Anolis sagrei: one gene and its partners. The protein of the gene in region 2 interacts with the protein of the main gene of each other region in a pairwise test. Links are inferred from orthologs where the notes say so. Each region holds a gene or a part of one and is shown on either strand. Other genes may lie near its edges.

Region 1 (7,559 bases), on a different chromosome or scaffold from region 2:
TGGACCAGTTGGAATTTCCAAGCAGTTTTCAAGGGCAGCCCCACGTAGAGCGCATTACAGTAATCCAATCTAGAGGTGACCAAGGCATGGACCACCCCGGCCAAATCAACCTTTGCGAGGTACGGTCGCAGCTGCCGCACAAGTCTTAGTTGTGCAAAAGCCCTCCCGGACACCGCCGACGCCTGAGCCTCAAGCGTAAGCGATGAATCCAAGAGGACTCCCAGACTGCGGACCTGTGACTTCAGGGGGAGAGTAACCCCGTCCAGCACAGGTTGCCACCCTATACCCCGATCCGGTTTACGATTGACCAGGAGGACCTGTCTTGTTGGGATTGATCTTCAGCTTGTTCGTCCTCATCCAGATAGCCACAGTGGCCAGGCACTTGTCCAGCACTCGAGGGGCCTCCTTTGTAGGTGGAAATGAGTAATAGAGTTGTGTGTCATCTGCATAGAGATGGCACCTAACTCCAAAACTCCGGATGACCTCTCCCAGCGGTTTCATGTAGATGTTAAAAAGCATGGGAGACAAGATAGAGCCTTGCAGGACCCCACAGGTCAAAGGCCAGGGGTCCGAGCAGGCATCTCCCAGCTTCACCATCTGGGAACGACCCTCCAGGAAGGACCGGAACCACGTCAAAACCATGCCCCCAAGACCCATCCCAGAGGGTCGACCCAGAAGGATACCATGATCGATGGCATCGAAAGCCGCTGTGTTGTTTTGGTTGCCCAAAAACATCTGCTCACCCTTAAAACATCTTGGCTTAAATCATGCTCTCAAGAGACAAAAAGAAGCAGACTTCTGTAAAGGTAACATAGTTGGTTTACTCATAAGCTTAATGTATTCAGCATACAGATACTTTGCTTATCGGTCCAGTTACAGATAGGATTTGAAGTAGTTTATCTGTGTGGATTTCTTATAATCAGCAGTCCATAATCTAAAGCATCTCTCTGTTCTGAGAGTCTAATGGAGTTTCTGTCTAGTCTGAAAGTCCAATGGAATCTGTATAGTCCGAGAGTCGGAAAACATAACTGTTCCTACTGAAGTCTCTAAGCATACAGTTCCTACTGAAGTCTAAACTGTACTGTTTCTAAACTGGAGTCTGAACAAGCCCAAATTTGATCACATGACCTGCAGTCCCTCCCACAACAAAGAGTAAAAAGCCTCAAATCATACAAGGCTTATGGATATGATGTCTGACTTTAAAATGTCCCTTAACGTTTCCCCAACCTCAGAGCCACAAGTGCACAACAACCCCTGTCTGCACGGCAGATAATCAAAAGTGATAGGAGTTGTCATTCAGCAACATTCAGGCATGCAAATTGGGTAAAAATGAAAGATCACTGCCCACAATGTAAAAAACTATGTACAGGCAGTCTGCAAATTACAAACAAGATTGGTTCTGTAGGTCTGTTCTTAAGTTAAATTTCTAATTTGGAACAGGTACATTTTTAAAATGTAACTCGAGCCATACACACAAACATATATAAGCTTTGGATAGCATAGGGAAGAGTTAACGTCCCTGTGGTGTTTCCTTTGCTGTCTGTGCACCTGTTCAGAAGATTTCCTCTCACTTTGTCCCTGTGATAATTGGATTTTGAAAAAAAAAAAGGCTTGTGAAAACAAGGATTGATGGGAAAGCTTCAGTGGAGACCTCTTCCCCCCATGATAACTCTTTCAGGAATGGATTTCCCTTCCTCGGGGTAGATTTCTCTCACTTCCTGTTGTCTCAGCCTTGTTCTGAGCTAGGAGTCATTTGTAAGTCGGATGTTTGTAACTCAGTGACTCTGTAGTTGGCCCTCTGTATCTACGGATCCTCCATCTAGGGATATTTTCAATCTATGGATTCAACAGCCCTTTGAAGGGAACTGTAAGGTTGATGGGTTTGACAGCCCTGCCCTAAGGAAAAAGCTATGATCTTCAAATATAATGTCAAAAAGTTTTAGCTTAGACATATCTCCTACACCCAACTTTCAGAGATGTAAAGTGGGAGATGAAACCTGACCTCTACTCATTGTCAATGTTAACAATTGTTTTTCGCCTCAGTTAACAAAGATGTGTTCTCGGTCCAGATGCAACTGGAAAGAGAATCATAGAGTTGGAAGAGACCTCATGGGCCATCCAGTCCAACCCCCTGCCAAGAAGCAGAAATATTGCATTCAAAACATCCCTGACAGATGGCCATCCAGCCTCTGTTTAAAAGCTTCCAAAGAGGGAGCCTCCACCACATTCCGAGGCAGAGAGTTCCACTGCTGAATGGTTATCACAGTCAGGAAGTTCTTCCTAATGTTATTTATTTATTTATTTATTTATTTATTTACTTTGCTTATATACCGCTGTATCTCAAGCCCGAAGGCAACTCACGGCGGTTCACAAACAGTAAAAACAGTAGAAACAGCAGTGGTTCCATACAACATATAACAATTGACTTAACACATTATCCATAAATTACCAATAAGCAATTACAATGCACAATTATTACAAAAAACAATGTACAGATGGAATCTCCTTTCTTGTAGTTTGAAGTCATTGTTCTGCATCCTAGTCTCCAGGGAAGCAGAAAACAAGCTTGCTCCCTCCTCCCTGTGGCTTCCTCTCATATATTTATACATGGCTATCATGTCTCCTCTCAGCCTTCTCTTCTTCAGGCTAAACATGCCCAGCTCTTTAAGCCACTCCTCCTAGGGCTTGTTCTCCGGACCCTTGATCATTTTAGTCGCCCTCCTCTGGACACATTCCAGCTTGTCAATATCTCTCTTCATTTGTGGTGCCCAGAACTGGACGCAATATTCCAGGTGTGGTCTAACCAAGGTGGAATAGAGAGGTAGCATTACTTCCCTAGATCTAGGCGCTATGATAGGGCTCATATAGGTCCTTTGAATGGCCTTAGTGTAATCTGTGTAGGCCAGGCATTGTAGATAAAGACCACCACTCTGAATAGTATCCAGAAACAGATTGGCAGCCAGTCGAACAGAAGCAGATTGAAGGGCCCTTTCACACAGCCCTATGTCCCAGAATATCAAGGCAGAAATCCCACAATATCTACTTTGAACTGGAATATCAGAGTCCACACTGCCATATATCCCAGTTCAAAGCAGATAATGTGGGATTATATTCAGCTGTGTGGAAGGGGCCCAAGTGGGATACATTACAGATCTCCAGCAACTGGCACACTAACTCTTAACTCAGTGTTTCTCAAGCTTCCTAATACCACGACCCCTTAATACAGTTCCTCATGTTGTGGCAACCACCAACCATAACATTATTTTTATTGTTACTTCATAACAGTAATTTTGCAACTATTATGAATTGTAATGTAAATATCTGATATGCAGGATGTATTTTCATTCACTGGATTAAATTTGGCACAAATACCCGATACGCACAAATTTGAATACTGGTGGGGTTGGGGTTTGATTTTGCCATTTGGGAGTTCACCTACAATCAAAGAGCATTCTGAACTCCACTAACAATGGAATTGAACCAAACTTAGCACACAGAACTCCCATGACCAACAAAGAATACTAGAAGGGTTTGGTGGACACTGACCTTGAGTTTTGGTGTTGTAGTTCACCTACATCCAGAGAGCACTGTGGACTCAAACAATTAATTAATTAATTGCTGCATTTGTATACCGCCTTTCTCAGCCAGAGGCGGCTCAAGGCAGCGATTTGATGCCATGACAAATATCAGGGTACAGTTAAAAACAATTATAAATACAGTTATAAAAAATTCAACATTTAAAATGTAGTATAAAAGAAACAATAATATCGATAAAACAAATCCTCAGCGTCTCCAATTGCATCAACAGTCATCCCCTGTTCGCTTTTCGTCTAATTATGTAAAAGCTTGCTCGAAAAGCTAGGTCTTAACCATCTTACGGAATGTTAGAAGAGAGGGAGCCGATCTTATATCCCTGGGGAGGGTGTTCCATAGCTGAGGTGCCAACACTGGTCCCCGCCAAACGCATTGGCGAGGAAGGTGGGATTGAGAGCAGGGCCTCCCCAGATGATCTTAAAGTCCTACATAGTTCATAAGGAGAGATACGTTGAGATAGGTAAGCCGGACCAGAACCCTTTAGGATGGATCTGGACCAAACTTGGCACAAATACTCAATATGCCCAAATGTGAACACTGGTGGAGTTTGAGGAAAATCGACCTTGACATTTGGGAGTTGAAGTTGCTGGGATTTCTAGTTCGCCTACAATCAACGAGCATTCTGATAGAATTGGGCCAAACTTCGCAAACAGGACCTCAATGACCAACAGAATTTTTCTGTATTTTTCTGATGTACTTTTGCGACACCCCCCCCCCCCCCTCCCTCCCCGGGATCCCGACCCTCGGGTTGAGAGATACTGTCTTGACTGCACATTGCATTCTTGTTCACTTTTGAAACGCGATATAAGCTCTCCACCTCTCGTCCTCGGTAATTCCCAGGTGCCCCAGCGGCATTGACCAATGAGCCTTTGGTTACGGGAAGAGCCGCGTGCGTGCTGGGCGTGGCGAAGTCGAAAGGCTGCCTGATTGGCCAGTCGGCCTTCCCCCCGCGCATGCCCAGTCAACCAAAGAAGGGATCATGGCGGCCTCGGTAGCTGAAGCTGAGGCGAGTTTGGGTGCCTGTTTGGAGGCGGTCCTGAGCAGCCGGAGCCATGCCAACCGCGTCTTTGAGGCCTTGGAGCTGCTGCAGGTGGGTCCGGAGGGTCGCCCTCCTTCTGCGAAGAGCTGCGCTCCAAAACCCTTGGGCACGTGCTTGGCCTCCGCCTCCCTCCAGCCCAGCCTGGCCTTTGGGCCCTCACGACACCACGGGCCACTTTTAGAACTAATGTATTGTCGAAGGCTTTCATGGCCGGAATCACTAGGTTCTTGTGGGTTTTTTCGGGCTATAGGGCCATGTTCTAGAGGCATTTCTCCTGCATCTATGGCAAGCATCCTCAGAGGCAGTGAGGTCTGTGGAATTAGGACAATGGGTTTATATATTTGTGGAATGGCTGGGGTGGGGCAAGGAGCTCTTCCTTGCTGGAGCTAGGTGTGAATGTTTCAACTGATCACCTTCATTAGCATTTGAAGGCTTGGCTGAGCCTGGGAAAATACCCTGTTGAGAGGTGTTAAGATGTGCCTGGTTGTTTCCTCTCTGTTGTTTTGCTGTTGTAATTTTAGAGTTTTTTAATACTGGTAGTCAGATTTTGTTCATTTTCATGGTCTCTTCCTTTCTGTTGAAATTGTCCACATGCTTGTGGATTTCAATGGCTTCTCTGTGTAGTCTGACATGGTGGTTGTTGGTGTGGTCCAGCATTTCTGTGTTCTCAAATAAAATGCTTTGTCCAGGCTGGTTCATCAGGTGCTCTGCTATGGCTGACTTCTCTGGTTGAAGTAGTCTGCAGTGCCTTTCATGTTCCTTGATTCGTGTTTGGGCAATTCTGCGTTTGGTTTTCCCTATGTAGTCTTGTCCACAGCTGCATGGTATACGGTAGACTCCTGCAGAGGTGAGAGGATCCCTCTTGTCCTTTGTTGAACGTAGCATTTGTTGGATTTTCCTGGTGGGTTTGTAGATTGTTTGTATGTTGTGTTTCCTCATCAGCTTCCCTATGCTGTCAGTGGTTCCCTTGATGTATGGCAGGAACACTTTTCCTCTGGGTGGATCTTCATCTTTACTCTCATGGCTGAACAAAATCTGGCTATCAGTATTAAAAAACTCTAAAATTATAACAGCAAAACAGCAGAGAGGAAACAACCAGGCACATCTTAACACCTCTCAACAGGGTATTTTCCCAGGCTCAGCCAAGCCTTCAAATGCTAATGAAGGTGATCAGTTGAAACATTCACACCTAGCTCCAGCAAGGAAGAGCTCCTTGCCCCACCCCAGCCATTCCACAAATATATAAACCCATTGTCCTAATTCCAACAGACCTCACTACCTCTGAGGATGCTTGCCATAGATGCAGGCGAAACGTCAGGAGAAATGCCTCTAGAACATGGCCATATAGCCCGAAAAAACCCACAAGAACCCTTTAGAACTAACTCGTAGGCTTCAAGGAAGGCTCTGTAAATGGGGTTTTAATTTTGTTGTATGGCTTTAATATTACACAGCCACTCCCCCCCCCCCCCATTTTTTTTCCTTTGGTGTCTTTGTTTTGAAGCCTGTTCCTGGGGTTCGTTGCGACACTGTTTCCGAAAATGGAATTGGATAGACAGCATCAGCCCTAGAATCACAAAATCCTAGAGTTGGAAGAGACCTCGTGGGTCATTCAGTCCAACCCTATTCTGCCAAGGAAAATCGTATTCAACGCACACCCGACAGATGGCCATCCAGCCTCTGTTTAAAAACCTCCAGAAAAGGAGCCTCCCGAACAACAACAACAAACCACACTCTGGGGCAGAGAGAGAGTTCCACTACTGAACAGCTCTTGCACACAGTTAGGAAGTTCTTACTAATGTTCAGGTGGAATTTCCTCTCCTGTAGTTTGAAGCCATTGTTCCATTGTGTCCCTAGTCTCCAGGGCAGCAGAAAACAAGCCTGCTCCCTCCTCTCTGTGACTTCCCCTCACATACGTATACATGGCCCTCATCATGACTCCTCTCAGCCTTCCCTTCTGCAGGCTAAACATGCCCAGCTCTTTCAGCCACTCCTCATAGGACTTGTTCTCTAGACCCTTGATCATTTTAGTCACCCTCCTCTGGACACATTCTAGCTTGTCAACCTTTCTATAGCATTGCAGTGCCCCTAATTGGACACAGTGTGATTCCAGGTGTGGTCTGACCAAGTCAGAATAGAGGGGTCGCATGACTTCCCTAGATCTAGACATAGACTCCTATTTTGTTTCTAACCTGGGGACTGCCTGTTCTACACAATGCTTAGTTAACCCAGTGTCTATCCCCACTTTTTTGTAACTGTTTGAGCAGATGTCACTTATTTCCGAACCTTTTCCTTCCCCATCTTCTCCCAGTCTGAGCAAAAGGAGATTGTTCTATGCGCCATCCGGATTTGCAGCCGGCTCTTTGGATCTTTGCTTGAGCAAGGAGAACTGTTTGTGGGCAAACTACCTTCCGAAGAGGAATCTCAGCAAGGTGAGGATATATCTGTTTGTAAAGAGCAGTTGGTGTGAATGTGAGAATGCAAATGATGCATGGTAGTTCAAATTCAGTTGCTATCATTGAGGTGTGAGTGCTGAGGCTCACATAGCCAAATGACAAAGGAGAAGATACCACCTGTCTTGGGTAAGTTCAAGGTTTTCAGAAGTAGAAGATTTCTTTAGAACAAAAAGGAAAAAAAATTAGGGAAATCTCAAAACAGTAAGAGGTAAGCATAAGATACATTACATTGTTGATTTAATGCAGTTTAACATCCCTTTGACTGCCATGGCTCAGCTGGCACACTTAAGACACAATTTAAAACCTATTTTTTCCAGATCTACCCAGTTTTAAACCATGAATTTTACATTTACATTTTATTAGTATTGGTATTTTAATCTTTGTTTTAGCTATCTATCTATATATGGTCATTTGTTTTATCCACATGTTTTAACTATGTTGTACCCACCTCAAGCTACATGGGGAAACATCCC
Region 2 (6,985 bases):
GCAATCCAGTTCTATGCTATCCTGAATAAAAGTTCAATGTGCCATATGAAATCAATCAGATCAATGTCCTGACATTTAGTGTATACTTTAAAGGCATTTAATGTATACTTTCATTCCTCTAGCAGCAGTACAGTGTAGACACATGTACTATTGCTCTTTTTGGAAGATGTGTTGCACCCTAAACTGTATCTACCCCGGATCCTACTTTTTAATCTGGAAATAAAAAAAATCTACTTTGTCGAGTTTTGAATCCAAGTTCAAACTTATGCAGAAGAGGGAAAACAAAATGACAAAAGGTCTGGAAGCCATGTCATTTGAGGAACAATTCAGGGAGCTTGGCATGATCTAGCCTTGAGAAGAGGCAGAATGGCCATTTTTCAGGAGTGATTTGATTGTGTATTCCTGTGCGGCAGGAGGACTAAATGGTCCATGTGGTCTCTTGCAATTCCATAATTTTATTTTTCAGAAATGTTCATGAATATAAATGAGAACATATGGACGAAAAATAGCAAGGAGCCCTCTTTTTATACCAAAGTGAGTTGTATGGATCTTAATGAAGTTTAAGATAAACAAAAACAAAGAACAGAACCCAAACTTCCTTGGACATAAGAGGGAATATTAAACCAAAGCATCAGTCAGCTATCAATATCTGTAAATAATGGTTTGACAAGTTTGAATCAGCATCTGAGAACCACTTAAAGGTGGTCTGCTGAACCAAATTAGTATAATCATGGGTTGGATCTTAGTTTATTACCAATAATAATGAAATTAGGTATAAAACACTACAATAATGCATTAGTTTATTGCTCATAAAGGGCTTAATGAGCAGTAAGGAGTTCGATGGTAGAGCACATGTTGCACAGACGTGAGTTTCTGGTTTCATCCCCTCTCCAGATAAACCACAGACCTGATGCCAATTGGAGCAGACTATATTGATCGAGAGGTGGTCTGGTTTGGTTTTGGACAGCTTCTCAAGAGATCAAAAAACTCACGACCCAATGACTGACTTGCATGTTTGAAAGATGGCAGATTTTTCTTTTTGCCTTACCCTCAACAACAAAGGAAATTCCTAGACACTGTTGTTTTTGATCACGTGAGTGATTATTCATCTACTATAGAACTATCAAGTTATGATGTAGAAATCATATCTGGAAATATTTCAAAATGCCTTTGATGTTGCAAAGTAGCATCGGAGTACCTCTGAACCTGTATATAATGCCTTTCCTTATTGTGGACTAACCACAACCAGCCCCGCCCAGTCTGGAACAGAAGCTAAACATTTCCTGGCTGGAGGCTTTATTCAAGGTAAAGTATAGGCTCATGCTTTCTGACATATCATCTAAGAAGATGGATAAATCATAGAATACAGAGATTCACAGAAATTACTTGCATGTACTTTTACAGGTTCTGCTCTTGTTAGTTTAGCTTTACCCCCAAAAGCAGAAATTAAGTACCTAAAGCTTTCAGAAGTATGAGAAGGTTTCTCTGCCAAGCATAACGACACTATATTTGCACAATTATCTAGGACTTTGAGGCAGGGGGAGATTCCTTTTGGACTGCCACCCTTTTATCCCCCCTTCAAATGCATTTTGATCTTCCACAAATGTGTTTCACAAAACCATGAAGAAGAGCTTCAAACATTTCCCATCCACTGGTTTTAAAAGCAGTTCATGCTTTGTTGTTGTATACTTTCAAGTTGTGTGACGCAGAGCAAGACTATTACGGGACTATTTTTACCAATTATTTTTTTCAGCTGAAGGTTGCCATTGCCTTCTTCTGAGGCTGAGAAAGTGTGACTTTCCCAAGTTGGGTTTCCATGGCCATGCAGGGATTTGAAGCTTGGATCCTAGACTTGTAGTCCAACAATCAAGCCACTACATCACACAGACTCGAATACCTGCAATGTACATCTTAAAAACTATTTACACAGCTGATAACTGCAGTTATCTCATCTTATTCAGTTGAACTTTTGGGAATCCAACATATTTTAGAGTTTTGTTGCAATCAAAGAAGCAGCATGCTTCTTTGGTTTCCCATTTGTTCATTTTTTCTGCATCACAAAATGAATAACCTTATTAGATTTGGTTGCATTTGTAACATTTCATGAAATTGGGTTGTGTTATTTCTTAGTACCATCAGGTTGCTTTTTCATTTCATTTTCTTTCTTTTTAACAGAAAGACAAAGGTTTCCTTTTTGCTTGGCTTGATTTTTAAGCAGAAATTGGAGTTATATTAGATCTGTTTATCCCCAGAGAAACATCACATTGTACAATATATCATGCTCTATTACATGGATCATTTAAAATCATGCTACAGATGTAAGTTGGAAGATGAAATCCCCCTCCATGCTTTACACATTTTCATCTGGATGGTCCTACCTTGTCACGGAGATCCTCAATAATCTTGTAATAATGGCTGTAGTCCTTAGCTGGACTACTAGGGGCCTGCTTCTGGTGCCAGTCTCGGATCTTGACCTCCAGGTCAGTGTTTGCTTCTTCCAGAGCCCGCACCTTATCCAGGTAATTGGCCAAGCGGTCATTGAGATTCTGCATTGTCACCTTCTCATTTCCAGTAAGGAGGACTCCATCTCCACCACCATAGTCAAAGCAACTACCAAAGCCACCACCATAGCCTCCACCAGCACCTCCACCAAAGCCACCACCATAGCCTCCACCAAAGCCTCCGCCAGCACCTCCACCATATCCTGAAGCCAAGCCAACACCTCCACCAGAGATGAATCCAGAACCATACCCGCCTCCTAAGCTTCCTCCATAACCACCTCCATGTCCTCCTCCAGAAGAGACATACCTAACAGAAGAGGAGGACATCCGGCCACCACCTCCACCATGGCTGCCGGAGGACACACGGCTGGAGCCACCCCCACCTCCAAAACCCATACCACCACCATAAGAAGCAGAGGAACTATAGTAGGTAGACATTCTGGGAACAATAGGTGAAGGTTCAGATGCAAGACTGTTACTTGGCTTGGCTGAGCATGCAAGAGCTAGGCTTTGAAACTTTGCCGGGCTCCATTTATAGTTGTCATTGTGGGGCGTGTTTATGCTAACAGAAAGCACACATATTGCCAAAACACACCCTCATGGGTGAGGCAAGCTGAAAACATGTGCTTGCATGGAAAAAAGTAACAGCTCATCCAAAAGAGGGGCTGTGCTTTCTATACATATTTTTCTTTAAATTCAATGAAACAAAAGATGTTCAAAATTGTCTCAATTGGCATCCGAGATTGGATTACTCCATTCGCAATCTCTCTTTCTGTATCCATATCTTTTTTTCTCTTTCAAACATTTGATACAAAGTGAAGGAAATACATACTGAAACTTCATTAATAGAGAAGCCATGCCAATGGAAACTATTGCATGCAGAATGAAATTATTTTAGCAAAAATTCCCCTAATTTCCCAGATGTCCATACTACCTTCTCTGTCTTTTAGCAACCAATTTGTGGCTCATTTGCTGTGACATTTCTCTCTCAACAACCTCTCTCCCCCCTCCAATTTCCATCTGGATTTTGAAAATGCACATACTTATTTATAAATAAAAAGTGGGGGTGTTTGGTAACATCTCTTTTAGACTATTGCATTTATTTGATTTACTGCATATTTCTATCTTACTTTGGGGGCAACAAGCCAAAGGTAGCATGCAGGGCTCTCCTCTTCTATGTTTTATCCCCATTACAGACCTGTGAAGTGGGTGAAGTTGACAAACAGTGACCTGTCCAAAGAAATTCAGTGAATTCTGTTGTTCAGTGGGAACTAGAATATAGAATTCATAAGCCTCAGATGAATACCTCACATTGATTCTTCTGTTAGTGACTGAAAACTGCAAGAATTCATTGTGTTCTATGCAGTTTATTTCATTTTAATTTAGGCATTTGTAAGAGATTTTCCAGGTAGAATGGGTCCTTCATCTGTTTTGTATTTCTTCTTCAAGATATACGCTGTACTTCTAAGTTCTGCAAAAGCTATGTGAAATTTCGAAGTGAAAACCATTATGATGAAAATGGACCTCATACTAGTGGAAAGTAGATTTATTTTTGAGAGCACTATGAGACACTGGATGCACCCAACATTTCTTCTAGTGTTAGAGCTCTCTTTTAACTCACTCTCTTTTCGTGCCTCTCTCCTACTCTATACCAATTCTTTCATTCACCGAGCGATTGCACAAAGGAGCTTATGTGCATTGGAGACTTGGTAATCTGTCAATCAAGGTGAAGATGATGGATACTAAAGTGATAGAAGAGCACTTGCCTGCTTTCATTTCTTCCCATTGCTGCCATGATCCAGTTTCACAGACACTCCTACCACACCCAAGTTGGGAACTAGGGTGCAGACAGGCTGGACTGGCACTAATGTCAAGTAAAGGTTTGGTTTGCTTCACCTGGAAGGTCAAGCGCTCTCCTCCCTGTCAATCCATTTTACGTCAATCCACTCTAGATTTTAGTCAGAACTTTCAATACACAATCCAAGATGCTAAACTTATTTTAAAAATATGGTCAACATTTTGGAGAAGGGCTAGGCTCCTCTAACACAGAGTATGTATATAGCTGGTGTCCCAAAGCACAAAAAAGGACCAAAGTTTCTTGGCCTGATGCACTTTGGTCCCAATGCATGTTGATCTCAATGCACACTGGTCCTATTATAAATTGGTCCTGATACACATTGGTCACTTATTGATGTCCCTGTATAATAACATAATGGCTGAATGCTGACATTACAGAATCTTACAAAGTCAGATGTTCCCACACAAAATCTTAGACAACATCTTTCAAACCTGGACTAAAACTCAAGAGTATCCATTGTTCCAGTGTCATGAGGGCTGCCCATCATGACTGCTGCTCCCAGTGCTAGATTTAGGACAAATGAGGCCCTGGGCTAGTTAAGTTATGAGGCCCTTACTTGGGCCCCAAAGGAGGTAAGTCCAGTAGGCCTACATTGCCTTCTTTATGTCACACTCCAATATATTATCAACTCTATCATTATGTCTGGAATTGCTCTGAAACAGAATACCTTCAAATGTAGAATTTCACTACATAAGTAAAATCCATAGTAAAAAAAAATTGTGGGGGGGGGGGGGGGAGGAACATGGGTCTCACTGGTCAACAAGCACACCAAAGCATAATGGTAAATCAAGCAGTGGCTGCTCCCTTTCATAAACACAAATATGTTCAATGTGCTACTGCATCCCCCTCCTTCCTCCAAGATGAGAATTGCACTTGTACAGTATAGAGAAGACAAACAAATGCCTGTAGCACAAAAATTCCCTGATGCAAAATTGGTACAGAAAGATAAGAACCACACGTCCACAGAACCATACAAATTAGTGCTGTGATCATAGAAAAACCTTTGTTTTTGCTGGGTTCTTTTTGTACAACCTATAACCATACACTTGAATGCTTATAGAAGTGCCAATTCTGCACCACATGTTTTTCCAGGTAGAAAGTCACTCTTTATTTGCATCCAAGGCTAAATTAACCTATACAAGCATATCTTGGCTAATGTAGAAGATGTGTTCCTGGACTTTAGTTGTTTAACTGAAATGTTGGAACCAGAGGAAGAAATAACATGGAAAGAATGGGGATGGGTTCCTATACAACTAAAAATCGGTTCAACATATTTCAGCAAATCTTTTATCCAAAACTAATATTATGCACATAAGAAATGAAACAACCAAATTAGGTGCGCCTTGCATAAGTAAACAAAAAACATTTTGAATCTCCTAGACACCACTTGAAAGTTCTTCCAAATCATTCAGAAATGATTTTCTTTCCCTTTCAAGCAGGCCTGTAGCCAGGATTTTGATTCGGGGGAGGGGGGGGGCTGAGTCTGAGTGAGAGGGTCTACCCTAGCAAACCTTTTGTATCATTACTCCATGGTGATCAAATCATGATATGAATAAACATAACAGTTTAAATAATGTACCAGTAAGGCCTTCTCGCAGACCACCATGAGAATTTGGGGGGGGGGGGGCTGAAGTCGCCCCCCCCCCCAGCTACATGCCTGCTTTCAAGAGTCTCTTTTCTTCTAATGATTTCCATTCTGTGGTGAAACATATAGTTCTATCATTTTTCTACATGTCAGTCTGCCTTGCCCTTTTTTTTCTGTTTTGCTTTGAATGCTGCTCAGAAAGCGATTATGGAGACAGCTGCTGTTTAAACTGGCTGCTGTATCTAAGCACACACAGCTAGAGCAGGATCACCTACAATAAAATCCAATTTTTTCCTATGTTAAATTTATTACATCGTTTATAGTAGACATAGTACTATTATCCAATACTCAAATTTTGTCCAGAAAATTTCTCCAGCTGATCTTGATCATCCTCTCAAAACTTCAGGTAAAACGGAAAACAAGAGAGAGAGGCTGGGGGAGGGGAGGCAAGGCACCCACCAAAAGACTTTATAAAAAGTAGCTTTACAGAAGCTGTGTTAACTGAAGCATATACAGTGTTCTCTCACTTATCACGGGAGTTACATTCTAGGACCACCCACAATAAGTGAAAATCCGTGAAGTAGGGATGCCATATTAATTTTAATATTTATACATTATATATTTTATATATTATTTTGTTACCCGCACTTCCTTACCCACCTCCTGGTCCATCCCAAGGGTGCCTGCCTCCCTCCCTGGCCTCCACAGACCCCGGCAGAGCCTCCGGAGCCTGGTCTGTGGAGGCCAGGAAGGCAGGCCTTCCCCACCGCACCTCAGATGCTGCACTTCCAGAGTCCCTGACCACCACTGGATGTAAATATTATATATTTTTAATTAATATTTTCAAAAAAACCCAAAACAGCGAGTCCGCTAAAAGCGAATCACGAAGTAGTGAGGGAATACTGCATGTCCTCTTTGATGCAGGTTAGAAGTGATGCATCCATATCAGGACTCATGCATGAAAATGGGTCTCCACTGTCACTTCAATTAAGGACAGAAAGTGAAAAAAAAAATGTGGGGTCTCCCCAAGGAACCAAAGGT
Region 3 (6,074 bases), on a different chromosome or scaffold from region 2:
ATTAAATATCCTTCTAAGTAAATATGCATAGAATTGCAATCTCTACAAAAAGCAGTATTCTGAAAATACTATGTCCTGTCATAGCATAGGGTTGATCCTGTGCCTGTATAAAGAGAAGGATTAAGCTCTTATTTGTCTCATACACTGGTTTAGCGGCTTAAAATGACATGCCTCTTAGTAATAAAACCTACACATTATTTGCTATGAAATACATTGTGTAGGTTCAGCTGCCTATTTGTATCATGTCAGTATAGAATAAAAACTATCACCAGTTATACATTACAGAGAAGACAATTTAAAATAATGTGGAAAAAATGGGTTCTAATCCCTTAACAGTTATAAGGTTGTAGTGTGTTAAAAGGCCATGTTGTTATGAGTATTTAACCCTAAAATTGACACAGAACTATTGCTTATGGCATGCAAACATTTTCAATATAAGCTTCAGTGGTACAGTTGAACCAGAATGAATGTTTTATCTTCTCAGAAACACTCCTGCAAATATATTATAGTGGATCATGCTGCTAATATAACTTGGGATACAGCTCCTCTCATGGTGCTACAGACCTCTGTCTCATTTAGACTGATGTATTTTTATCCATAGAGAAAGGCCTATATTAGATTTATAGATGTATGATATATTTTTATACTGTGACTTAATTTGTTATTAATGAATTTTGTATATCACCATGTTTTCATATGCACTTGCAAAATGAGAATCTTGGACATGCAAATTTATACCCAAATAAGCCTATTTTCAAAACTAGAAGATGAAAATGAAAAGAGGGCTTTTGATATGGTGTGAAGTGAAGAACATGCTTGTCTCAAAGGGCCCATTCGATCTTGGCAAATGAAAACTATTTTAAAAGAATTACATCTGAACATGATGTGGGTTGCTGAAATTATATTTTTAGATAGTGGAAAATGTTTGGACTTGTGGGGAAAAAACTGTTTAATGATACAGATTTTGAGTCAAAATAGAAAAATGCATTCCAGACCGAATTTGTGTATTTCAATAAAAATTACTATCCTGTGATATGGGAAAATGTGTTGCTTATCATGTATATGTACTTTAAAATGTATTCACAAACTACTGTTGTATTTGTATAAAATATAGACAAAAGATTGCATATATATTTTTGTGTATAAGCTCTGTAAAATAGCTATCACATTATGAAGCTGCAGCAAAAATTCAATTTAGGCATTCATATCCAAAGAAACAGACTATTTATTGTCCACATACCCTGATAAAAATATAACTTGCTGCTATTAAACAATAGTGCTGCAGCTTCTTGTGGCCTACAGTGTTATGTTTGCTGTACAAAAATATGTGAACTCCACAAAATATCAATAAAACTACAGAATGGTTTTAGTTATGTAAAATATGTGTATTGTTTTTGTGTGTATGATTATGCAAACAGTTACCAAAACACAAGAGAATTATATTCTCAAAACATTTTGTCATAGATCAATAGTAAATTGAGAACTATTTTTTTTAAAAAAGGTGGTATTTTCGGTCTATGATTTGCCCAAATCAAAGGTCTTGAAAACAACTCTTGAAAATGAGTGACATTTCAATAATAACAAAAATTATTAGAGGCTTATATGAATTCTGTACATCACAGATAATCAATTATTTTGGGACACAAATACAATAATTAAAGGATTGATGAGTATGCTTTAGAGTAGGAATTCCTTTTTTGTAGTCATCTGTATGATGTTAATATACAGAGCCATACCAAGGGTCAGTCTGATAATTTTTCATAGGCGCTAGAGTCTCTTAGCCTCTTTTGTATCATCATATATTACTACAGAGTAAAGGACATTCCCTCCAACCAGAGATTTTCCACAGGGGTTTACAGAATATCTCTTGAAATTAATCTTCAGTAGTGAAGACCTAGCCATATCAATTATGTTCAATTTGAATAATGCTCTTGTAACTGACACTGCTACAACATTCCAGTAATAGGGACAAGGGAATATCAGGTGTGGTAAATGCTAAATGAGAAAGGAAAACAAAGCTAGTTACGTCATCTCTACTGCCTTTCCTTCCTCAGTAGAATGAATCTGATTCTACCTTAAGGCAGAAACTTCAGTAACTACAATTTACTACTGTGAGGTGTCACAGAATTAAAAACAACTGCAGAGTGCTTTCTCATTGCACTGGAATTTGGAGGAAAAAAATGAATTAGCAGGAGGCTCACCCAGGTATCACAAAGGGAGTCCTGCTACAGTAGTCCAGCCTCCTGTTTCACAGTGGCCAAGCAAAGCCCATAAGGGTATAGTTGCAGCAGCATACCTCACTGATGTTCCTAGTAACTGATAGTCATTTGTTGTCATGTGCCTTCAAGTTGACTCCAACCCCTTCAAGGGTTTCCTAAAAAGTGTATTTCGTGTTTGTCTATGGCTGAGAAAGTACGACTTGCCCAAAGGTCAGCCACTGGGAGTGGGGATTTAACCCTTGGCTCCTAGAATTCTAATCCAATACACAGACCACTACACCATACTGCCTGTAAAGGTAAACTGCCTCAACATAAAATTTATATTTATATACTGCTTTTCTTCCAGTGAAGTCAACATGGCATGCATGGCTCTGGACAAACTTTTATAATCACAGGAAACCTCTCAAGTACATTTTTCTAACACATTTGGCACAAGGTCACTCAGTGAGTTTCTTGAGTAGTAGTCATTCATAGCCTTTGGCTTCCACAAATTTGTTTGATCCCCTTGTAAGACTATACCAGATAATGACTATTATAACATATCATGGTGTTTATTTTCTGAGTGTGAAATTTTCCATAGTTGGAAATTATGCAGCCCCCAAGTTGTTGCTGAACTATAGATAACAATATATCTAGTTTTACCAGTTAGGGATGCTGGGAGATTAAATATCTGCAGAGAGACATGATTCCCATCCCAACTATGCAAAGATGTACTTTATCCGGCTAGAATTTTTCAGCATTGGTGTCTAGCCTCAGGTTCTAATATCATGACAAGTAAATAAATTGTTACTTTCACTATCTCCAAATCCCAACATAAAGACACATTTACTGAGACTTCCGTTTACTGAGCACAGATGACAGAATTTGGGGTATACAATCGGAGAAAAGTTGACTTGCTTGATTTGCTTTCAGAGATTAGATTTGCATAGAATATTCTGGAATACATTGGAAACAGGGTATAAATAGAAAACAAATATTGTTCTTACTTTCAAGAGGAAAGATGCACTACAATACTAAATACATCACAAAGCTCATTTAAGTAGTTCCTTTCAAACTTATTCTTGCAACAGGTCACATACAAGACAAGACAAGGTTGCCCCCTTGTGTAGAAAGTTTGCACTAGACTTCCTTTGTTAATATTAAGTGCACATCAAGAAATCCATAGGATGAATTGTGTTTAGTAGCCTTGTACCAATGTTTTCCGTAAACCAAATATTTGTCAGTCAGCCACATTCTAACATCATAAATTTGCCCATCATTCAATAAAATTCATTTTACATTAAAAGTGGCAATTATGTACTATCAGTTTAGCATCTGCAGTCCTTTCCAAAACACATAGTTTTCTTCTCTAGAGGGGATTCTGTTAGTACAACCCAGCTGCCTATCAGACTAACTAGCTGAGTTCGTGGAAATGGGCTTGGAGTTGATGTTGGAGTCACCTGACTCCAACACCAATTTGTCAGGTGCAGCTCAGAAACTCATGACAAACATGGTCATATCCCAATTGATCTCCAAACACACATCCATCAGGTCACATCCCTGATGCTGTTTTAAGATTTGAGCATATGGATCTGTGGGTAAAGGTAGTTAATAATGTTGTCATTGATAGATAATTCCCTTGTCAAAGTTAGTATCACAGCTGTTATCTGTCCCTGTATGTGTGGTGGACCTATTAAGGTGGTCTGCCCTTTATGATATTTTTCTGAAAAAAAGTTGTCCTTAACATGATACGCAACACACTGAAATTCAACAGTTACACTTTTCTCTTGCATTAAGAGATCATTGATTGCTGAATTTCTGCCTTTTTACAACTGTTAATGACAAAGAAGGTGGACAAGAAGTGACACACTTTCATTTCTGCTTCTTTTTTCAGATTTATAGGAAGCTAAGAAAAGTTATACAAAGATCTAATATCAAAGTGATAAGAAAACTTTTTCCAAAGTAGAGTTATGAAGGAATAATTCCTATAGAAGTCAATGGAATTTACTTCCAATTAAGCATTTTTAGGACCATGCCGTAAGTGTTTTGGGAATTAGGGTTGAACTCTCAGTTCCCTTTAATGGCCAAAGTTAGTAGGCAGTAGTGCTTAAAATCATCCTCATCTGAAACTAATCAGAGCTTGTTGGCTGTAAGTTTGATGCAGAGGTTCTATGAAAGAAATTTGGGAGCAAAACAGAGCAAACTCATGAAATACTGCTTAATTGTCCTGCATCCTTTTTTTAAAAAGAAAGAAGCTTCTTATTTTGTTTGCCAAGGGTTGTTCCTCCATAATTATGCCATCTCCTCTTCCTCATAATCGTCTTCTTCATCTACAATTTTCTCCATCTGTGAATGCACGGCCCTGCAGTAGTCCCTTGGTGTTTCCAGCCAAAGGTGAAAAGTTTTTTTGTGTTGAAGGTGTTTCACCCAGGATTCGCCGACTACCAACTCGTCTAGCTTGGTGTTCAATAGACTGGGATCAGTTGTGTTTGCTACACCCCCTGGGATCAGGTGGCTTTGGTTCAGTCTACAAGGCTATTTATCGTGGAACTACAGTAGCAGTAAAGCAGGTGAAGAAAAGCAGTAAGAACAGTCTGGCATCACGGCAGAGTTTCTGGGCAGAATTAAATGTGGCACATCTTGACCATAATAATGTGGTACGGATTGTAGCTGCTAGCACATGTGCCCCTGCTAATCAGGACACTTTGGGTACCATAATAATGGAATATGTAGGTAACAGTACTCTACACCACGTTATCTATGGGACTGACTGCAAGACAGAAAAGGGTAAGGATGATGGGCTTGGATTTGGCCATGTATCTTTGAGCATAACTGAGGCATTAGGCTATTCTTGTGACATTGTAGCAGGTCTCATCTTTCTACATTCACAAATGATTGTGCATTTGGATTTAAAACCTGCTAATGTATTCATCACTGAACAAAATATTTGCAAACTTGGAGACTTTGGATGCTCCCAAAAACTACAGGATCTTGAATCATCAAGTCCACTACTTTCTCAACAAGGTGGGACATACACCCATCGTGCTCCTGAACTCCTTAAAGGTGAGAGAGTCACTCCTAAGGCAGACATTTACTCTTTTGCTATCACACTCTGGCAAATGGTTACACAGCAAGAACCTTATTTGGGTGAACGCCAGTATGTACTCTACTCTGTAGTAGCTTGTAATTTGCGCCCTTCACTAACTGCAGCTGTGTTTAAAGGTTCAGCCACTGGACAACAGCTTGAAATGTTAATTGAAAGTTGCTGGAAATCTGATGTTGCCAAACGTCCTAGTGCAGAACTTCTCCTCCAGAATATTCATGCTCTGTCTCTAAAAGTGTAAAGCGTTACGGTCTTGTATGTGTCTCCACTTTTATTGTTGATAATTTTCTTAGTTAAACTAGTGTGTTGTTGCTCTGACCTCTCAAGATTCAGAGCAAATTAAAAAAATGTTACTGGTTTTCAAATTGTCTACAAATAAAACTTTTCGCAAAATATTAGTAGTAGGTGTGAAAATGCTCTTCTGAGTTAAATGACAGCCTTTTGCAGTTTATTATGTTATCAATTCTTATAACAATCTACATAGTCTGGAGGCATTCAGATCTCCTAATCTCTAAGACAGGCATACTCAAACTCCAGCCCTCCAACTATTTGGGCCTCCAGCTCCCAGAAGACGTAGCCAGCTTGCTCAATGGTCAGGAATCCTGGGAGTTGGAGATCCAAACAGCTGGAGGGCCACAGTTGGGAGAATGCCTGGTTTAAGATATTAAATTTGGGCTCTAGTCCTCAGAACATTCAGTGGAGGAGCTGGTCTCATTAATACTCATGGAATTTCTTAAGATCAGGCCTATCTGATTACAGTTTGAAGTGGCTAG
Region 4 (7,133 bases), on a different chromosome or scaffold from region 2:
CTCCCGCCTAGCCTTCAGAAGAAAGGTAAAAACTTGGCCGTGGGATCAGGCCTTCAGAGAATAGTGCACTGCAATTAACAGATTTGGAATATATGGAATGACTGTGGAACACCTTAGACTACAACTATGGATGGTGTGATTTTAATATGGAATTGAATGTTTTAAAATGTTTAATATGTTTTAAGTTTAATCTAATTTAATTTTAATTTTTTTGAATTGTCAAGGCCCAAGGCCACTGGGAGCAGGAGAGGAGGCAGGACATGAGAGGAGCCTCCCACAAGGATGTTTTAAAAAATCAAAAAAAATCTGGGTGTCCCTTGTGCAACATCCTTGAAGACAGTCAATTCTCTCATACCAGAAATGACTTGCAGATTCTCAAGTCGTTCCTTACACACACCCAAATCATATTTACAGGAGCTCCCGGTGGCGCAGTGGGTTAAATCCTTGTTCCGGCAGGACTGATGACTTGAAGATTGAGTTGCTGACCTGCAGGTTGCCGGTTCGAATCCAACCCGGGGAGGGAGCGGATGAGCTCCCTCTGTCAGCTCCAGCTCCCCATGCAGGGACATGAGAGAAGCCTCCCAAAAGGATGGTAAAACATCAAAACATCCGGGCCTCCCCTGGACAACATCCTTGAAGACAGCCAATCCTCTCACACCAGAAGTGATTTGCAGTTTCTCAAGTCGCCCTGACACTCACACACAAAAACAGGGTCTTATTTGATGTGTAAGATAAAGATATTAAGACTATTTCCAAGACTTTTGTCATTTCTTGTTACATTGGTGTGATATATTGGTGTCCCGAAAAATTTGGAAAACTCTGCTCTACCCAATAACTGTGTAAACTGGCCAGGTTGTCCGAATGCCCAATCACCTTCTCCCAAAGCAGTTACTCTATTCCGAACTCAAGAATGGAAAATGAAATGGCCCTTGAGCGATCTAACCACAATTGCTGCACAATTTGAAAAGGCACAAATGGGAGGCAAAAGGGAGAAACGTGCCAAGAGAAAGGCACGTCAAGCCTACCCTGACCAGAACCTCCTTCGGTCTGGAAACCGATGTCCTCACTGCAGGAGAACATGCGGATCAAGAATAGGGCTCCACAGACACCTATGGACCCACCACCAAGACACATCTGGAAAACCATCATCCTAAAGCTAAGAAAGATCGCCTAAGTAATTATAATTATATTATATATATTATATTATTTATTATAATTATTATTGTTGTTGTTTTATTTATACTTTGTTTATTTATATTTATATTTTACTAGCTGTACCCGGCACACGTTGCGGTACTCAACCTTCCCTCCCTCTTTCTCTTCTTTCTTTCTCTCCTTCCCTCCCTCTTTCTTTCCTTCCCTCTTTTTCTTTACCTTCTTATTTCTTCCTTTTCTAACTGTTTCTTTTCTCGCTTCCTTTGCTCTTTGGTTCCATCCTTCCTGGTCTCTTTCCTTCCTTCTTTCCCTCCCTCTTTCTTTCTTTTGTTCCTTCTCTCCTTCCTCCCCCTTTCACTTTTTTATTTCCTTCTCTCCTTCCTTCCTTCTCTACCTTTCTCTTTCCTTCTCTCCTTCTCTCCCTCTTTCTCTCCCTCCTGCTCTCCTTCCTTCCTTCTCTATCCTTCTTTCTTTCCTTCTTTCTCTCCTTCCCTTCTTTCCTTCCTTCCCCCTTTCTGTGTATGTATTTTGTGTGTGTATATGCATATGTGTGTATATATGTGTGTCTGTGTATATATATAAGTGGTTTTGCACATGTAATGTATTTGGGGGGTGGCTTTTTAAGTCCCTTCTGCTGTGTTTCTCAGTGTTTTTATGAGTGATGGTCACTTGTTCGTCTGTTAGGGGTGTAGTGTCCAAATTTGGTGTCAATTCGTCCAGTGGTTTTTGAGTTCTGTTAATCCCACAAACAAATATTACATTTTTATTTATATAGACTAACCATCCCCTGCCACACGTTTCTGTGGCCCAGTTTGGTGATCTGGAAAATAAGTGTTGGTTTCTAATATATGTAATTTCTTTATGTTTCTGGGTAAACAGCATTTCTTGTTGTTTCTTTGTCAGTGTTGATGTAGAGATTATCTGGTTTGCCTACTCTGGAACATGCAACATATTATTGTCCTTTAGGGGGTCCCTTTCAAATCTATGATACTATATCTCTCTGTGTGTGAATCATATCTATTTCTATCTATGGCTGGATGGCTCTTTGCCCTGGTGAAGAGAGTTGAACTGGATGGCCTTAAGTATTTTCTGTTGGTCATGGGGGTTCTGTGTGGGAAGTTTAGCCCAATTCTATTGCTGGTGGGATTCAGAATGCTCCTTGATTGTAGATGAACTATAAATCCTAGTAACTACAACTCCCAAATGTCAAGGTCTATTTCCCCCAAACTCAGTCTGTGTTCATATTTGGGCATATGGAATATTTGTGCCAAGCTGGGTCCAGATCCATCATTGTTTGAGTCCACAGTGCTCTCTGGATATAGGTGAATTATAACTCCCAAACTCAAAGTCAATGCCCACTAAAACCTTCTAGTGTTTCTGTTGGTCATGAGAGTCTTGTGTGCCATGTTTGGTTCAATTCCATAATTGGTGGAGTTCAAAATGCTCTTGGATTGTAGGTGAACTATAAATCCCAGCAACTACAACTCCCAAATGACAAAATCATTTTTTTTAGTGAAGGACATACATTGGATTGTTAGGTGTCTTGTGTCCAAATTTGGAGTTAATTCCCTCAGTGGTTTTTGAGTTCTGTTAATCCCACAAACGAACATTACATTTTTATTTATATAGACTAGCCGCCCCCTGCCATGCGTTGCTGTGGCCCACATGGAGGTTCTGTGTGGGAGGTTTGGCCCAATTCTATCGTTGGTGGGGTTCAGAATGCTCTTTGATTGTAGGTGAACTATAAATCCCAGCAACTACCACTCCCAAATGTCAAGATTCTATTTTCCCCAAACTCTACCAGTGTTCACATTTGGGCATATCAAGTATTTGTGTAGAGTTTGGTCCAGATCCATCATTGTTTGAGCGATCTCTGGATGTAGGTGAACTACAACTCCAAAACCAAAGGACACTGCCCACGAAACCGTTCCAGTATTTTCTGTTGGTCATGGGAATTCTGTGTGTCAAGTTTGGTTCAAATCGTTGGTGGGGTTCAGAATGCTCTGTGATTGTAGGTGAACTATAAATCCCAGCAACTCCCAAATGACAAAATCATTTTTTGAGTGAAGGACATACATTGGGTTGTTAAGTGTCTTGTGTCCAAATTTGGTGTCAATTGGCCCACTGGTTTTTGAGTTCTGTTAATCCCACAAACGAACATTACATTTTTATTTATATAGACTAGCCACCCCGTCACGCGTTGCTGTGGCCCAGTCTGTGCACATGTGTTTTGTGTGTGTATATATGTGTGTATATATTTGTGTATGTGGTTTTGCACATGCATTGTAATGTAATGTTTATTATTTAGCTTTTTAAGTCCCTTCTGCAGTGTTTTTCAGTGTTTTTATGAGTGATGGTCACTGGTTGGTTTGATATGTGTCTTGTGTCCAAATTTGGTGTCAATTCGTCCAGTGGTTTTTGAGTTCTGTTAATCCCACAAACGAACATTACATTTTTATTTATCTATAAGATTATTATATTTATATTTATGGTTACCTTGTAACCCTACTTTCCAGATAACCCTCGCACATTACCAAGCCTTTTGTCATTTCTTGTTACATTGGCCTGATACATCTACGTGTCCCGAAAAGTGTGGAAAGCTCTGCTGTACCCAATAGCTGTGTAGAAGCAGGAATGCCCACAACGGGGGTTTTAAGAGTGGGGTCTCTCTCGAAAGCGGGTCCCAGGCGAGTGGGGCGAGGGCAGGGGAGCGTGGCGAGCGGGGAGGCGTCTTGGCGACCTTGCCGCGCGCCTCCTGCCGGGCTGTGGGCCTGGGCAAGGTCATGCTTTGCAGCGAGCTGCCTGCTTTTGATCCCGGGGGAAACCTGAAAACTCTCGCATTCCTGGCATAGCAGCGCCGGGCGCCGCCTCTCGCGCAACCCAGCCTCCCTGGCTCTCCTTGCAGCTGGAGGAGGAGGAGGAGGAGGAAAGAGGGAGGGAGGGAGGGACACCATTGAAAGTCGCCTTCCTTCCAGCAGGGGGGAAAAGGAGGAGGGAGAGGAGGCAGGCAAGCTGGTCACATTCACACACACAGAGAGAGGCAACCTCGCATTCACCAAGGCGCACTGCTCAAGGAGCGCACGCACGCACAGCACTCTCCGCCCGGGCTTTGTGGCAACTGGTCGTCCTCTCCCCCGCAAACCAGAGGAAAAGCACCGAGTTTGCGCTTTTGGGAGGCCCGGGACTACGTTGGGAGAAGGCAAGGCTGTGCTGCTGCTAGTATGGTCCGGTGAGTATTCCCCTCACAGCGGAGCCTTCATTCATGTCTTCCCAAAATGTGTGTGTATGCGCCCATTCTTCCCCAGCTTATTGCAGCCTTTGCAGTTCTTGGAGGGCTCACTCAACCCAAGAAACTCGCAATGTGGTGCCTTCTTTAAAAGCGAATCGTATCGTCAGTGGTTGTCGAAGGCTTTCATGGCCAGAATCGCCGGGTTGTTGTGAGATTCCTGGGCTGTCTGGCCATGTTCCAGAAGCATTCTCTCCTGACGTTTCGCCTTCATCGATGGCAGGCATCCTCAGAGGTTGTGAGGCCTCACAACCTCTGAGGATGTCTGCCATCGACGCAGGCGAAACGTCAGGAGAGAATGCTTCTGGAACATGGCCAGACATCTTAGGAAATTCATATAACAACTCTACAATGGTTGGGTTGTTGTAGGTTTTTTGGGCCATATGGCCATGCTCTGGAAGCCTTCTCTCCTGACGTTTCGCCTGCATCTATGGCAGGCATGCTATGGTTCATAGGCTGAGTAAATCCATGTCTTCTTGAAGCCTGGGTGTTATGCACTCTTCAGCAGTCCTGATTATTCTTTGGAGGCTAAATACATCTGTGTCTTTTGGGGTCGAAATGTCTTGCACTCTTTAACAGTTCATACTAGCCTTGATTCTTTGAAGGCGAAGGCAAAGCATATCTATTGGAGTCAGAATGTGATGCCCCCTTTAAGAGCCAAGAGGGATGATTCTTTGGGAGCAAAAAGTCAGATCTGCACTGAATTTATGATATGGATTGACACTGACCACATTATTTATTGAGTTGTTTATTTATATCCCGCTTTATCTCTCAAAGTGGCTCACAATCCAAAATATTGCAACTTAAAATATACAAATATACAATAGTAAAACAGTATATCATTATTTATTATTATCATATCAGTAGTACTATATTTAATGTATTAGTATTATATGACAATATTGTTACTATATACTACTATATTGCATCATGTATTATTAGTATATTGTGTTGCATTAAAATATAATATGTATCTATTTCATATATTAGTATTATTTTACAATATTATTACTCCATATTATATTGCATTACAATATTATTATATGTATATGTATATATATATATATATTAGTATTCTTATATTACACTATTATTACTATATATTACTATATTATTAGTATTATATTGCTTTACAGTATTATTATATGTATATATATTAGTATTATTATATTACTATATTATTACTCTATATTACTATGTTTTATTAGTATTATATTGTATTGCATTACAATATTTTAATGTCATATGTATATATTAGTATTATATTGCAATGTTATTACTATATATTACTATATTGTATTAATATTGTATTGCATTATAATAATATTATTACTATATATTACTATTACTATATTGTATTATTAGTATTATATTGTGTTACATTCTAATATTATTAATATTATATGTATATATAATATATTATATTATTAGCATATAACAATATTAGTAATATATATATATATATATATAATATTATTAACTTGTACTATACCACTATATTGCAATATTATTACTAATATTAGGAATAATGTGTTGTTTGGCAGTGCAGGTCCAGCCATAGTCAAGCCATGCCTGAGGTCAAAATGTTATGTACTCATTGAGAAGCAATAGTAGCCTTTAGTGATTCTTGGAAGGCCAAGTCACGCCATGGTGAAGTGGGATGGTTGCACTCTTGGTTTTCGGGAGAGGTTTCTTCAATCCCTTTGGCTGGCTCTGGTTCTTGCCCGCTTTCTTTGACTGGGTTGTTCTTGAGAAAGTTGGGCAAGCAAGGCCTCAATGTACAGCTGGAGTGAGCGAGGGTTGCTTTGAACTCCTTCCTGTGCCATTCTTTGCTTAATTCAATGTGCTTGTTTGGAGGTGTCGGTTGTTGAGTTGGGGGTTCAGTTGTGAGTATGCATCCATCTATACATTGTGCAAGCATGCTTTGTGGTTATCTGGAGATATGTCTAGTTTTGGCTTTTGTCTCTTCCCGGCTGCTGCTGCTTCTCATAGCTGCGCGAGCCCTGGCTTCTCACTTCGCAGGAATGTTAATTGCAATCCAAACCCGGATGATGTCAGCGCAGAGCTATGTGGAAAACAAAGAGCGGCGGCTGCAAGCGAGAAGTAGGCAAGCAGGCAGGCGGGCAGCAGGCGGCAAGGCAGAGGGACCAGGCGGAGGGCTCTCCTGCTCTCTTGCCTTGGGCTTAGAAAGACTGCTTTGGGAAAGTCAGCTGGAAAGAGGAGAAGGAGGGATGCTTCCCTTGGCAGCCATTGTAACTAAGGGTGCCTCTGCACCAGCCATGGGCAAACTTTGGTCCTCCAGGTGTTTTGGACTTCAACTCAATGAAGTTCAACAGGGACAAATGAAAGATACAGAATGGGAATGCCTGGCTGTACAGCAGTCCATGTGGAAAAGATCTGTTGCACCATGAGCCAACAACATGGTGCAACAGCTAAGAAAGCCCATGAGATTTTGGCCTGCATAAATCAGAACATAAATCATGCCACCCTTCTGTTCTGCCTTGCTCAGACCACACCTGGAATTACACTGTGTCCAATTCTGGGCACCACACTTGAAGGGAGATGTTGGTATGTGTCCAGAGGAGGGCGAGTCTGGAAAACAAGCCCTATGAGGAGCAGCTTAAAGAGCTGGGCATGTTTAGCCTGCAGAAGAGAAGGCTGAGAGGAGGCATGATGAGGGCCATGTATGTAA

What was found.
Region 1: the proteins of keratin, type I cytoskeletal 13-like (region 2) and NOC4L interact in binary tests that used the Homo sapiens proteins (3 or more experiments, as listed by UniProt). The two-hybrid records come from large-scale screens. The link is inferred for Anolis sagrei from reciprocal best matches to the Homo sapiens genes KRT15 and NOC4L.
Region 3: the proteins of keratin, type I cytoskeletal 13-like (region 2) and MOS interact in a two-hybrid assay, tested with the Homo sapiens proteins (2 studies listed by BioGRID and IntAct). The two-hybrid records come from large-scale screens. The link is inferred for Anolis sagrei from reciprocal best matches to the Homo sapiens genes KRT15 and MOS.
Region 4: the proteins of keratin, type I cytoskeletal 13-like (region 2) and AMOTL2 interact in binary tests that used the Homo sapiens proteins (3 or more experiments, as listed by UniProt). The two-hybrid records come from large-scale screens. The link is inferred for Anolis sagrei from reciprocal best matches to the Homo sapiens genes KRT15 and AMOTL2.

The regions. Positions count from the first base shown.
Region 1 is NC_090034.1:37,461,595-37,469,153, reverse strand, and holds the start of NOC4L (nucleolar complex protein 4 homolog), read left to right. Parts: upstream 1-4,537; 5' UTR 4,538-4,573; coding exon 4,574-4,684; intron 4,685-6,941; coding exon 6,942-7,062; intron 7,063-7,559.
Region 2 is NC_090026.1:39,015,366-39,022,350, reverse strand, and holds the start of keratin, type I cytoskeletal 13-like, read right to left. Parts: upstream 3,018-6,985; 5' UTR 2,940-3,017; coding exon 2,379-2,939; intron 1-2,378.
Region 3 is NC_090024.1:49,588,158-49,594,231, forward strand, and holds MOS (proto-oncogene serine/threonine-protein kinase mos), read left to right. Parts: upstream 1-4,492; coding exon 4,493-5,542; 3' UTR 5,543-5,562; downstream 5,563-6,074.
Region 4 is NC_090023.1:225,789,422-225,796,554, forward strand, and holds the start of AMOTL2 (angiomotin-like protein 2), read left to right. Parts: upstream 1-4,131; 5' UTR 4,132-4,384; intron 4,385-7,133. UniProt on the Homo sapiens protein: Regulates the translocation of phosphorylated SRC to peripheral cell-matrix adhesion sites. Required for proper architecture of actin filaments.